Caenorhabditis elegans: one gene and its partner. The protein of the gene in region 1 purifies or fractionates together with the protein of each later gene. This does not show direct contact. Each region holds a gene or a part of one and is shown in the gene's direction. Other genes may lie near its edges. The genes, in order: let-99 and par-1.

The links.
Region 2: the proteins of let-99 (region 1) and par-1 purify together in Caenorhabditis elegans (affinity purification with western blotting, with the first as the bait; 2 studies listed by BioGRID). This does not show direct contact.

What each region holds. Positions count from the first base shown.
Region 1 is NC_003282.8:12,565,672-12,571,122, forward strand, and holds let-99 (Protein let-99), read left to right. Parts: upstream 1-2,170; 5' UTR 2,171-2,184; coding exon 2,185-2,229; intron 2,230-2,279; coding exon 2,280-2,632; intron 2,633-2,679; coding exon 2,680-3,869; intron 3,870-3,927; coding exon 3,928-4,112; intron 4,113-4,452; coding exon 4,453-4,776; 3' UTR 4,777-4,951; downstream 4,952-5,451. Other genes in the region: eak-7 (MTOR-associated protein MEAK7), read right to left, coding at 1-129, 185-310; hsb-1 (Heat shock factor-binding protein 1), read right to left, coding at 1,245-1,406, 1,461-1,541; K08E7.4 (uncharacterized protein), read right to left, coding at 5,035-5,070, 5,118-5,321, 5,371-5,382. UniProt on the Caenorhabditis elegans protein: Required for the proper orientation of spindles after the establishment of polarity. May play a role in interactions between the astral microtubules and the cortical cytoskeleton. Required for asymmetric forces on nuclei and spindles.
Region 2 is NC_003283.11:14,123,231-14,128,163, reverse strand, and holds the start of par-1 (Serine/threonine-protein kinase par-1), read left to right. Parts: upstream 1-1,625; coding exon 1,626-1,849; exon of another isoform or gene 1,850-1,908; intron 1,909-1,920; coding exon 1,921-2,053; intron 2,054-4,366; coding exon 4,367-4,933. UniProt on the Caenorhabditis elegans protein: Required for cytoplasmic partitioning and asymmetric cell division in early embryogenesis. Phosphorylates and restricts the asymmetry effector mex-5 (and possibly also mex-6) to the anterior cytoplasm of the zygote.

The sequences.
Region 1 (5,451 bases):
GAAATGTCCCAGTCCAGTATCAATACATTTTAGGATTGTTTTAGCGAGCAAAACGCCCTGCGGCTCGTTTTTTACCAAACGAAAGTAGAATTGTGATGAATATTCACCCAGAATCGGTATGAACATTGCCTGGAATTTGAAAATTTTATATTAAAATGTATTTTCCTTCTAAAAATTAATTCACCACAAACTGGTCTCGCGTCATTTTGTCCTTTCCATCTGTGTGTTTTTTGAGTTTTTCCATAAAATGTGCATAATCCTCATCGTTAATATTTTTTAGATCTTTTCGCTTCGAATTTTGAGCTCCCATTTCTGAAATTATATGTTTTTTATCTGAAAATCCGGATGCGAAATAGTTAGTAAAAACTGTGAGAAATCAACATTTAGTATGAGAAAAAATTCAAGGGAAGAAGAAGAAAAAGTAAGATGAATAGTTTCATATTGAAAATTTTTTTTAAAAATGCACAAAAATTTGAATTTTTGGCAAAATTTGTGTTTTCACATATAAATAAAATAATTCCGAAAATCGTAATAAAATGCAACAAAAGTTATTGAATAAGAGATTAAAAGCAGGAGGCACAACATAGTAGTCATGAATCCTCTCAACACGTGCATAATCAGTAGAAAAAGAAGAAGAAGAAGACGTGAAAAGAGTATATGTATGTAGGAGAGACGCAGAGAAGCACACAAAACGAATTGGAATTATGATGATGATGAAGAAGGAAGCGACGATGATTCATTTGGGAAGAGTGTAGAGCTGGAAAAAATAGAAATTGAAGAGAGATTAGTTATTAATAATCTCTACAAATTGATTTTTTAGTGGAAATTTGGCATCTTTCAGACCATTTTTGAGCTCTTCGGCGAATTTTTCAGCCAAAATTAATAGGTGAAGTTCTATATTTTTATACTAATTTTTAATGATAAAGTCTTGGAATAACGGTGCAATCGGCCTGATTACCACGTGGTAAATCGATTGGAAAGGCGCTAGGAAATCTAAATATATTTCAAACTAAAGTTAAGAAGGAATAAAAGGATTGACTTCATACATGAAAATTATAAAATATTCGGCCAAAGAGCGTTTTTTACTGTATTTCTAATTGGGTCCCACGGCCCATATTATTGTTTTTTTTTGAAATTTCAAAGTCGACATCAAAAACAACACTGTTTTTCAAAAATAACGAGTGGTCAAAACATCGACCGAAATTTTTGAGAATGTTTCCCATTTTTCTCATTCCGTACCAATCTTATTGAGCGCTTGGCGGATGTTCAACTTGGTTCGATTGCAGCAAATCGTTGATATTCTTCTCCAAATCATCGATTCTCGTTGTCATATCATCGATTCGCCGAATAATCTGATCCGACATGTGCTGGAATCGATCCTGTGTCTGTTGCAGAACTCCTTGTATCTGAGTTTTAGGATTTTTTAGAAAATTGACAATTTTTTTCAAGTATTTACGTACCAACGACGTCAAATCATTCATATTTCCATCGGCTGGAGCGTCGAGTTGAGCGGTTGGTGTGGTAGACTTCTCATCGGACATTTTGAACTGAAAATCTGTAAAAATACGATAAAAATCACAAAGTTTAATCAGTTTTTAAAGAAAATTTGATGAAAAATCAATTAAAACTGGTGAGAATCCAGTACCAGGCAACTAGCCGTCATCTCACAAACAGTGGAACACACAAAAGTACGGGAACAACAACACGAGAGAAAGTACGTCGAAGTGAGAGACGACAGAGAAAAAGAGGGCGGCGAGAGAGTGAAAGAGACGCAGAGAAGGAGTCATTGGAGAAGGACAGATGGTGTAAACGGCGAAAAGAGCAGAATAAGATGATTTGTTTTATGTAAAATAGTGTGGATTTCGAGGAAAATATAATTATTAGAAACACTTTGAGAAAAAAAAAACATCTGAATCGAGGAATTTTTAATTAAAAAGAGAAATTTTCAAAGCAGAATGGGTTACTGTAGCTAATAAGTTGTGTGACAAGTCGTGTTTTCGTGTGTTTGGTCCGTAAACAAAACTTCGGCGCCAAAACTTCACTCGTTTCAGCAATTTTTAGGAAGTTTCCAGAAATTTTTCCTCATTCTTGCTTTTTTTCGTGATGAAATCTCGTTTTCTTTTAAGAAGTTCTTAAATTTATCAATAAACCATCAAAATTCAAGTTTTAGGCCGTCTTGCCGTGATGTCTGCCGACTACTCATCGGAGAAGTTCAAGGCGACGCATCTGGTATTAAAATGTTTCACATTTGTCTTTTGAAATTTTATTCTGATTTTCAGTTCGACGAAATTCTATGGCATTTTCGTTCAAACTTATCACTCAAAACGAACAGAAGAGGATTGGCCACTGCGGAAAACAGTTTCAGCGGGAAAGAAGCTGTGGATTTTCTGATGATTGAAATGCCACGAATCATCCCTAACAATGTTCCGGAACGAGACAAGATGCAGAAGTTCCTGGAGTTCATGATGGACATGAACGTGATTTCAGAAGCCTTCCCGAAGAAAGTCAAGCAAAGGAGGCCATTCAGTGAATCGAGAATATATTTGTTCATGAAGACTTTGGATGAGTTGAAGCATCCCAAGCCCCGATCACGTCGATCAGCGTCTTTCAGTGGTGCTCGCAAAAGTGCAAAGTATGCCAAATAATCATTTTAAACTGTGCTATAAAATATATTTCCAGAGTTGCTCAACCTGCCTCTCCTGCCGCGACAATGCACCGGCCACCAAAGGCAAGGCTCCCACGAAGATTATCGCGATCTAATGGCAACATTGACAAAGCAGGCATCGATAATTCTTCAGGCGGCGTTGAGAATCACGGTTTCGATGATCATAAAGACGATGAAATCCCGAAGAAACAACGAACTCCGAAGATTTTGAACAGATCACTTGAAAGTATCTGTACAGAAGAATATACTGAAAAACGAGAAGTTTCTGAGATGAAAGAGAAGGTTTATGATTGGTTACCGTTTTTCAAATCAAGACGAAATCACACGAAAGTCAATCAACCAACCCGTCGTTCAGCATCCCTTGATCGAAATCATTGTGTTTTGGAACAAGAAAAAGCTGAAGCTGCTCTTCGTAGTCAGAAAGTAACCACTCCGCCAATTCGAGAAGCCCCGAAAGACGTCGTCTTTATGCATCCACAAGGACCGTTGCCTGCAGTTCCTAGCAGATATCAAAATCATCGGACAAGCATCGCAGGATCAAATCCAGCATTGTTATCGCGTGGAAGAATGTACGAATCCATCATGAGAAGATCGTCGGTTGTTCCAGTTGCAGACTCTGTCCAGGCAAACAACGAATGCTCATTTTGGAAAACAGAGCTGCTTGGACGATTGGAACAAATTTACGATCGCACTCTTCCCTGTGAATGGGCATCTAAAGTCGATGGATACGATATTCAGTGGAACATGATTGAAATAGATCATGCTGATGGAATCGTCAAATCGAGATGTCAGGGACTGCAGCCCGATTATCCCCAAACTGTTATTCAATTCATGGATTATCTTGTTCGATATCCCTTCGTCACGCATAAAAAAATGGACACAGGGTTGGAATACAACGTCAATCGGATTTTCATAACTCTAGTCAATCGTCTCGAAGACTTGAATGCTCCTCTTCAATTCGATGAATGCTCTCTTATTGTTAATCTCCTCTGCAAAATCGATAGCTTCGCGGCAATGCTTGACAATGGGCCTGCAAGGCGATGGTCGAAAGTGATGATTTCTTCGTCTGCGTCTAGTATTGAGGAGGCTGGATTGATGGTCGATGGATTCTCCCGTGATCTTCCAGCATGCGGAATTCGAGCTTCAAAGTATCGACGACGTGCGTTATCACCATTTGATAATAGAGTGAATTTGGAAATACAAGGTAAAGAATTTTATTTTTATTACAGTTTCACGATTTTTACTTAAAATTATAATTTCAGACGAAAAATCCTACGAAATCCGAGAGCAATGGTTGATCGAAGCAATTCAATTGGTACTTCTTTCGCTTCCAACTTCACGACGTCGGAAACTTCACAAATTTGTTACATTCATTCAATCGATCGAAACGAATGCAGTTTTCGACCTCGCTGATCCTTCTAACGGATCTTCCAACAATCGGGAAGCGGTAAGGAGGGGATAATTTTGCAAGAAAACTACTGTAACCGGTCTCGACACGACAACTTTTTGTTAGATAAGAAAATGTGTGCGCCCTCAAGGAGTACTGTAATTTCAAACTCTCATTTCTGCCGAATTTTTATGGATTTTAATTAGTTATTTGATAAAAAAAAATATTTATCAATTTAGCACTACAAAATTAACACCTATATTTCAACAATTAAAATTCTGCAGAAATCTTCATTCGTTTCATTCGACAAAAGAAAAATTTGTCGCCTCGAGACCGGTACCGTACTTTTGTCGCGAACTTTTGCGTCTGCGTAATATCAATTTTAAATTTTCGATTTCAGGCAATCATCGGACTCTGGACAGGTGTTTGTAGTAAATGCCGAAAGCAACAAGGAATGCTGATAACCGCTGTCCTCCTCGCAAACTTTCAATCTCTTTTTGCAGTACCTGTTGAATTTATCGAACAGGTCAAACGATTGGAATGTGAAGAAAAGGACAGATATAGTGGTCCTCGGTACGCAAAGATCACCAGAAGTCGAAATGATTGGCAACCACCAGTTCCGGATAAACCGCAAGCATCTCCGGCAGTTTTTAAGAAACCACTAAGAGAAGTGGCATGTGAGAAAACGAAGAAAGGATTGTTCACAAGATTGCTGCGTAAATAAATCTAAAAATCTTCGCCCCATGTATATATTCAATATATTATTTATTTTGTTCCATTCCTCCCCGCTCACCGAATTCTTGTGTCATTATCATCATTTTTCTAAATGTTATTTTACAATTCTGGTTGAATTGAAATTCTCGATGTTCGTTTTGTTCCATAAATTTTGACGATGATTTATCTATATGTATTTATTTTCTTCTATGCTTTAATAACACAGAAAAGGGGGAATTTCAAAAAATTTATTAGGATACATTGAGGACTATTGTGGGATGGCGAGCTCCTCGTAGTTGCCCTCCTAAAAACGTTCGTTTTGTCTTTTAAAATATGCCAAAAATAACTCACATCTTCTTTCTTTGGAGCCACTGGTTCATCCTTCTTTGACGATGGAACGTCTTGTTTCTTCGAATCGAATGAGTCGCTTTTTCCGACTCCTCCAGCAGGTGCTGCCATAAGTTTAGCGACCGGTTTTGGAGCCACTGTTTTCTTCTTGCTCCCACAATGGACCAGCACAAATGGCAAGATATTGAGAGTTAATAGCAAAATGATCTGGAAGCGAGAGGTTTGGAAAATATCAGAATCCTGACAGAAAACTCACTTGCGAGATCATTATTCTTTTTTCGCTTCCGAGAGGTTTTGAATCTTGTAAAGTGAGAAAATATGAATTTTGTAGATTTTC
Region 2 (4,933 bases), on another chromosome or scaffold:
AGTACGATTATAAAGAAGAAAAGTGAGACGCGAACTTCTTTTTTTCAACTCCATCTTCGTCGTCTCGGTGCACCTGGTGTGTTGTCCTATTCTATTCGGTTCTACCTCCTCCACCCCCAATCTATTCAATTTTTATTATTGACTTATCGGAAAGAGAGTCAGTAATAGGAGAGGTGGACACGCAGACGTTGTGAGAAAACGACAAGCGCCTCGACTGAGAGAATTGAAGAACTGACTCATTTTTGTACTGAACTGACTGACAGTGCAGACTGGTTGACACACCTGCTCAGAAGCTGCTGGATCACCTTACACATTCACGTGCGACACTATTTTATTCAATTATTGTTCGCGATTCAAGATTCAAGAACTGTTAAGATGACGAAGAAATCGTACGCATTTGCACTGGATCTCGATGATTTGTGCTGTGACGATCATCCATATTCATATTCACCACCTTCCACATCTTCACGGCATTCTGCATATTATCCATCTCAACAGCCTCGGACCTTTTTTCCGGAATATGAATTGACCAGGTTTCTATCTTGTTTCAAAATATTTTTTCCGGCTGCTTCTCTTCTTGAATATGACTCATCGCCCCCTCAATTTTTCGTTGGTCGTGCTGCAAGAAATTTTCCATGATTCATCATAGCAGCTTGTAGTATAGAAGAAGACCATCGTTGTTCTTGTTGAACATCAGATTTTACATTTTATGTCCGGCGCCTGAGTTCGCCTTACTTTTTTTGTGTTCTACGAGGTACGGGCAATATGATGAACGTAGCCACTAAATGGGGCAAAGTGGCCGAATATAATTAGTACGTTTCTAGATTCGGTTGACCTTTGATTTTATATCCAAAAAAGGCAGTTTAACGGTTTTCTTTTTGAAAAACAATTTTTTCTAACTGAGGGGCTGGAACTTCCTTTTCTATTGGAACAACGCGTCTCAAATGAAAAAAAAAAGTTTCCGAAGCGCTATTTTTCGAGTTTTTTTTTTTCATTAAATCGGCTGTAAAAGTCGTCATTTCTTCCCCTCTGTGCTGACGTCTTCACTCAAAATGAAGAATTGCAAGCACAACGAGATGACGTTGGATGGCCCCGCAAGCAGTCAGCATCGAATGAAAATTTAAACACAGAAATTCAACGAGCCCCGTCCATCAAAGCCACAAAAAAACGGGGGTCCGCGAAGGGAAATTAGAAAAAACGAAGAGGCATGGCGGGGGGGGGGGGGACACGATTTTATGTAGCACTTGGAGCAGCACTTTGTGGGGGCATTTATCGGTCGGCGGGGAGGGTTTTTTGGAGAAATTCCGATGTGATGGGAGCAATAGAAAGAGAAGGGGACACATATTCCCTCTTAGTTTTTTTCTCCTTTTGCTCACACTTTTTTCAAGAGGAATACAGACAGATAGAGAGAGACATGGATGCAATTTGTGTCTCTTCTCCAAAGTGTGGATGGATGGATGGATGGATGTGTATGGAGAAAGGCCGCCCATCTTCTTCTTCTTGCTCGCTTGCTCCTCTTCTACTGCCGGCGCTCTCCTCGTTTTTTCCAGTGTGTCCGTCCTCCACGCTTTGCTCCATTTCGGGGAGCCCCAGGGCTCTTACGCGTCCGTTTGACCTAATTCGATATGTTCAATGCGGCATACTCGTCGTTACTCGCTAGATTTATGTGCCAGCCAAGTAGTTCATCTGTGACGCCTATTCCGGAAGAGGAGGAATCTCTGATCCCGAAGCGAAAAGTGTCTGAAGTGGTCACTACAGCTCCGATGGCTCCCACACTAACTTCATCTGGGAAACGGCGAACGGTGAAAGTGTCACCTGATGGAGATCATGTCACACATAACCGAAAAAAGTTAATTTTAGTTCACATTTAAAATTAAAATAAAGCCCCAGTCCACCAGTTTTCAATAAAAATTTTTCCAGCTCTTCATCACATGCACGATCTACTGGACAATCGGGTATGTCAAGTCGATCGGCAGCACGACGCAACGATCAGGATGTACACGTTGGAAAGTATAAGCTATTGAAGACTATTGGAAAGGGAAATTTTGCAAAGGTGAGCACTTGATGATTGGAAATTTCGAAAAAAAATAGTTATCAAAAAATTAGAGCTTGAAACATACTGTAGCCGGTCTCGACACGACCGAGCGCCTTTAAGGATTACTGTAGTTACAAACTCCCGGTTTTTGGCAAATTTTCTGTTTTCCAAATTTTTTAAAAATTTTATTTATTAAAACCAGTCGATGACCGCGCCTCCGGCGCGGCCAACGACTGGCGGAGTTTAAAATGTATAATACATAGATGTCCTTTTAATCATTCAAAAATGTATCATTAAAAAAGTTGAAACTTCATCGATTAAATCGCATTTTCTTCTTCCATGGTATTCGATTCAGAAAATTCAAAGAGACAGTTAGAATGTTCTGATTTTTCTACACTCAAAATTATAAAACTGCGTTGCGTGTACGCCAAAATAGTCCCCGCCTTTTTCTCGTTCACTCACGGGGAAAAGGCAAAAAGCGGTACCCCAGGTAATATCAGCCGCCGACATCATTCGAGGTCCGCGCACCACACTATTTTTCTCACTGTTGGCGTGGCGAGCTGTCCCCCTCCCCCGAAAAAATTCCACAGAGTTACAGTTTTTCAATAAGTTAATAACTTTCCTTAACTGGAGAAGTCTGAATAATTAACTACTAATAGTAAGTTCTTTGAATATAGATGTGACGAAACAAATAAAAACTCCTACAGTTATAGGAGGTTGTAGAGCATTTCAGAACTTTTTTGAATTTTCCAGATGATTCTAGAACATTCTAGAATTTTCTTGAAACTTCCAGAAGGTGCTGAAACAAAAAATTGATTCCAGAACCAAAATTTGAATTTCCCGCCAAATGTTTTCCTCAGAAAATTTGAATTTCCCGTCAAAATCTTTTTCTCAGAAAATTTGAATTTCCCGCCAAAATTTTTCTTGGAAATTTGAATTCCCGCCAAAATTTCTTTTCTCATAAATTTTGAAGCTCCCGCCCATATTTTTAAAGGTCCCACCACGATGGGTCTCGCCAGTTCCAGGTGGTACTTAAGCTAACAAAAAGTTTCTCAGAAAATTTGAATTTCCCGCCAAAAATTTTTTCACTGAAAATTTGAATTTCCCGCTAAAATTTTTTTCACTGAAAATTTGAATTTCCCGCCAAAAATTTTTTCACTGAAAATTTGAATTTCCCGCCAAAAATTTTTTCACTGAAAATTTGAATTTCCCGCCAAAAATTTTTTCACTGAAAATTTGAATTTCCCGCCAAAAATTTTTTTCACTGAAAATTTGAATTTCCCGCCAAAATTTTTTTTACTGAAAATTTGAATTTCCTGCCAAAATTTTTTTCACTGATTGAATTTCCCGCCAAAATTTTTTTTACTGAAAATTTGAATTTCCTGCTAAAATTTTTTTCACTGAAAATTTGAATTTCCCGCCAAAATTTTTTCACTGAAAATTTGAATTTCCCGCCAAAATTTTTTTCACTGAAAATTTGAATTTCCCGCCAAAATTTTTTTCACTGATTGAATTTCCCGCCAAAATTTTTTTAACTGAAAATTTGAATTTCCTGCTAAAATTTTTTTCACTGAAAATTTGAATTTCCCGCCAAAATTTTTTTTACTGAAAATTTGAATTTCCCGCCAAAATTTTTTTCACTTAAAATTTGAATTTCCCGCCAAAATTTTTTTCACTTAAAATTTGAATTTCACGCCAACATTTTGGGTCTCACCACGAAGGGTCTCACCACGATGGGTCTCACCACGAAGGGTCTCACCACGAAGGGTCTCACCACGTAGGGTCTCAACACGATGGGTCTCACCACGAAGGGTGCCACGCCCACTATTCTCACTGAAATTTGGGCGTGACGTCACAGACTCCAAAGACTACATAGACTACAAACTCCGGACAGACGAACTGTATTTTTTTATATATAGTTAATGATATTTCCTTTTTGAGAAGTAATTTAACTTTTTTATATATTTTTTTTGAGAAACGAGAGAAAATTTCAGAAAAAAAAATCTCGGTTTCATTTTTTTACGCTTAAAATTTATTTTTCGAAAACCCAAAATCATATAAAAGTCATGAAAGAAATATAAACTTCGAAAAAATGATAGACATATTGTGAAAATTTGCAAAACATTGCACAAAAAACAGGGAATCACAACTACAGTACCCTTTAAAGGAGTACACTCTTTTGTTCAGAACATTTTAAGTCGTGTCCGGACCTTGGAGACCGTGCACCGTAACTTTTTATTAAAAATCTTTTTTTTTCCCAGTCGGAAATACGAAACAGCCTGACAAAAATAAATCTTAGATATATGACCATTTAATTAATTATTTTTGCAGGTAAAACTCGCAAAGCACGTGATAACCGGACATGAAGTCGCTATAAAAATTATCGACAAGACTGCTCTGAACCCATCGAGTCTTCAAAAATTGTTCCGAGAAGTGAAAATTATGAAACAATTGGATCATCCGAATATTGTGAAATTATATCAAGTGATGGAAACTGAACAGACACTGTATTTAGTACTCGAATATGCATCCGGTGGTGAAGTATTTGATTATTTGGTTGCACACGGAAGAATGAAAGAGAAAGAAGCAAGAGCCAAATTTCGACAAATTGTCTCTGCTGTTCAATATTTGCATTCGAAAAATATAATTCATCGAGATTTGAAAGCTGAAAATTTGCTTCTCGATCAAGATATGAATATTAAAATTGCTGATTTTGGATTTTCGAATACCTTCTCACTTGGAAACAAACTCGACACATTTTGTGGATCTCCACCGTACGCTGCTCCAGAATTATTTTCCGGTAAAAAGTACGATGGTCCTGAAGTAGATGTTTGGAGTCTTGGTGTAATTCTCTATACTCTTGTATCCGGAAGTCTACCATTTGATGGACAAAATTTG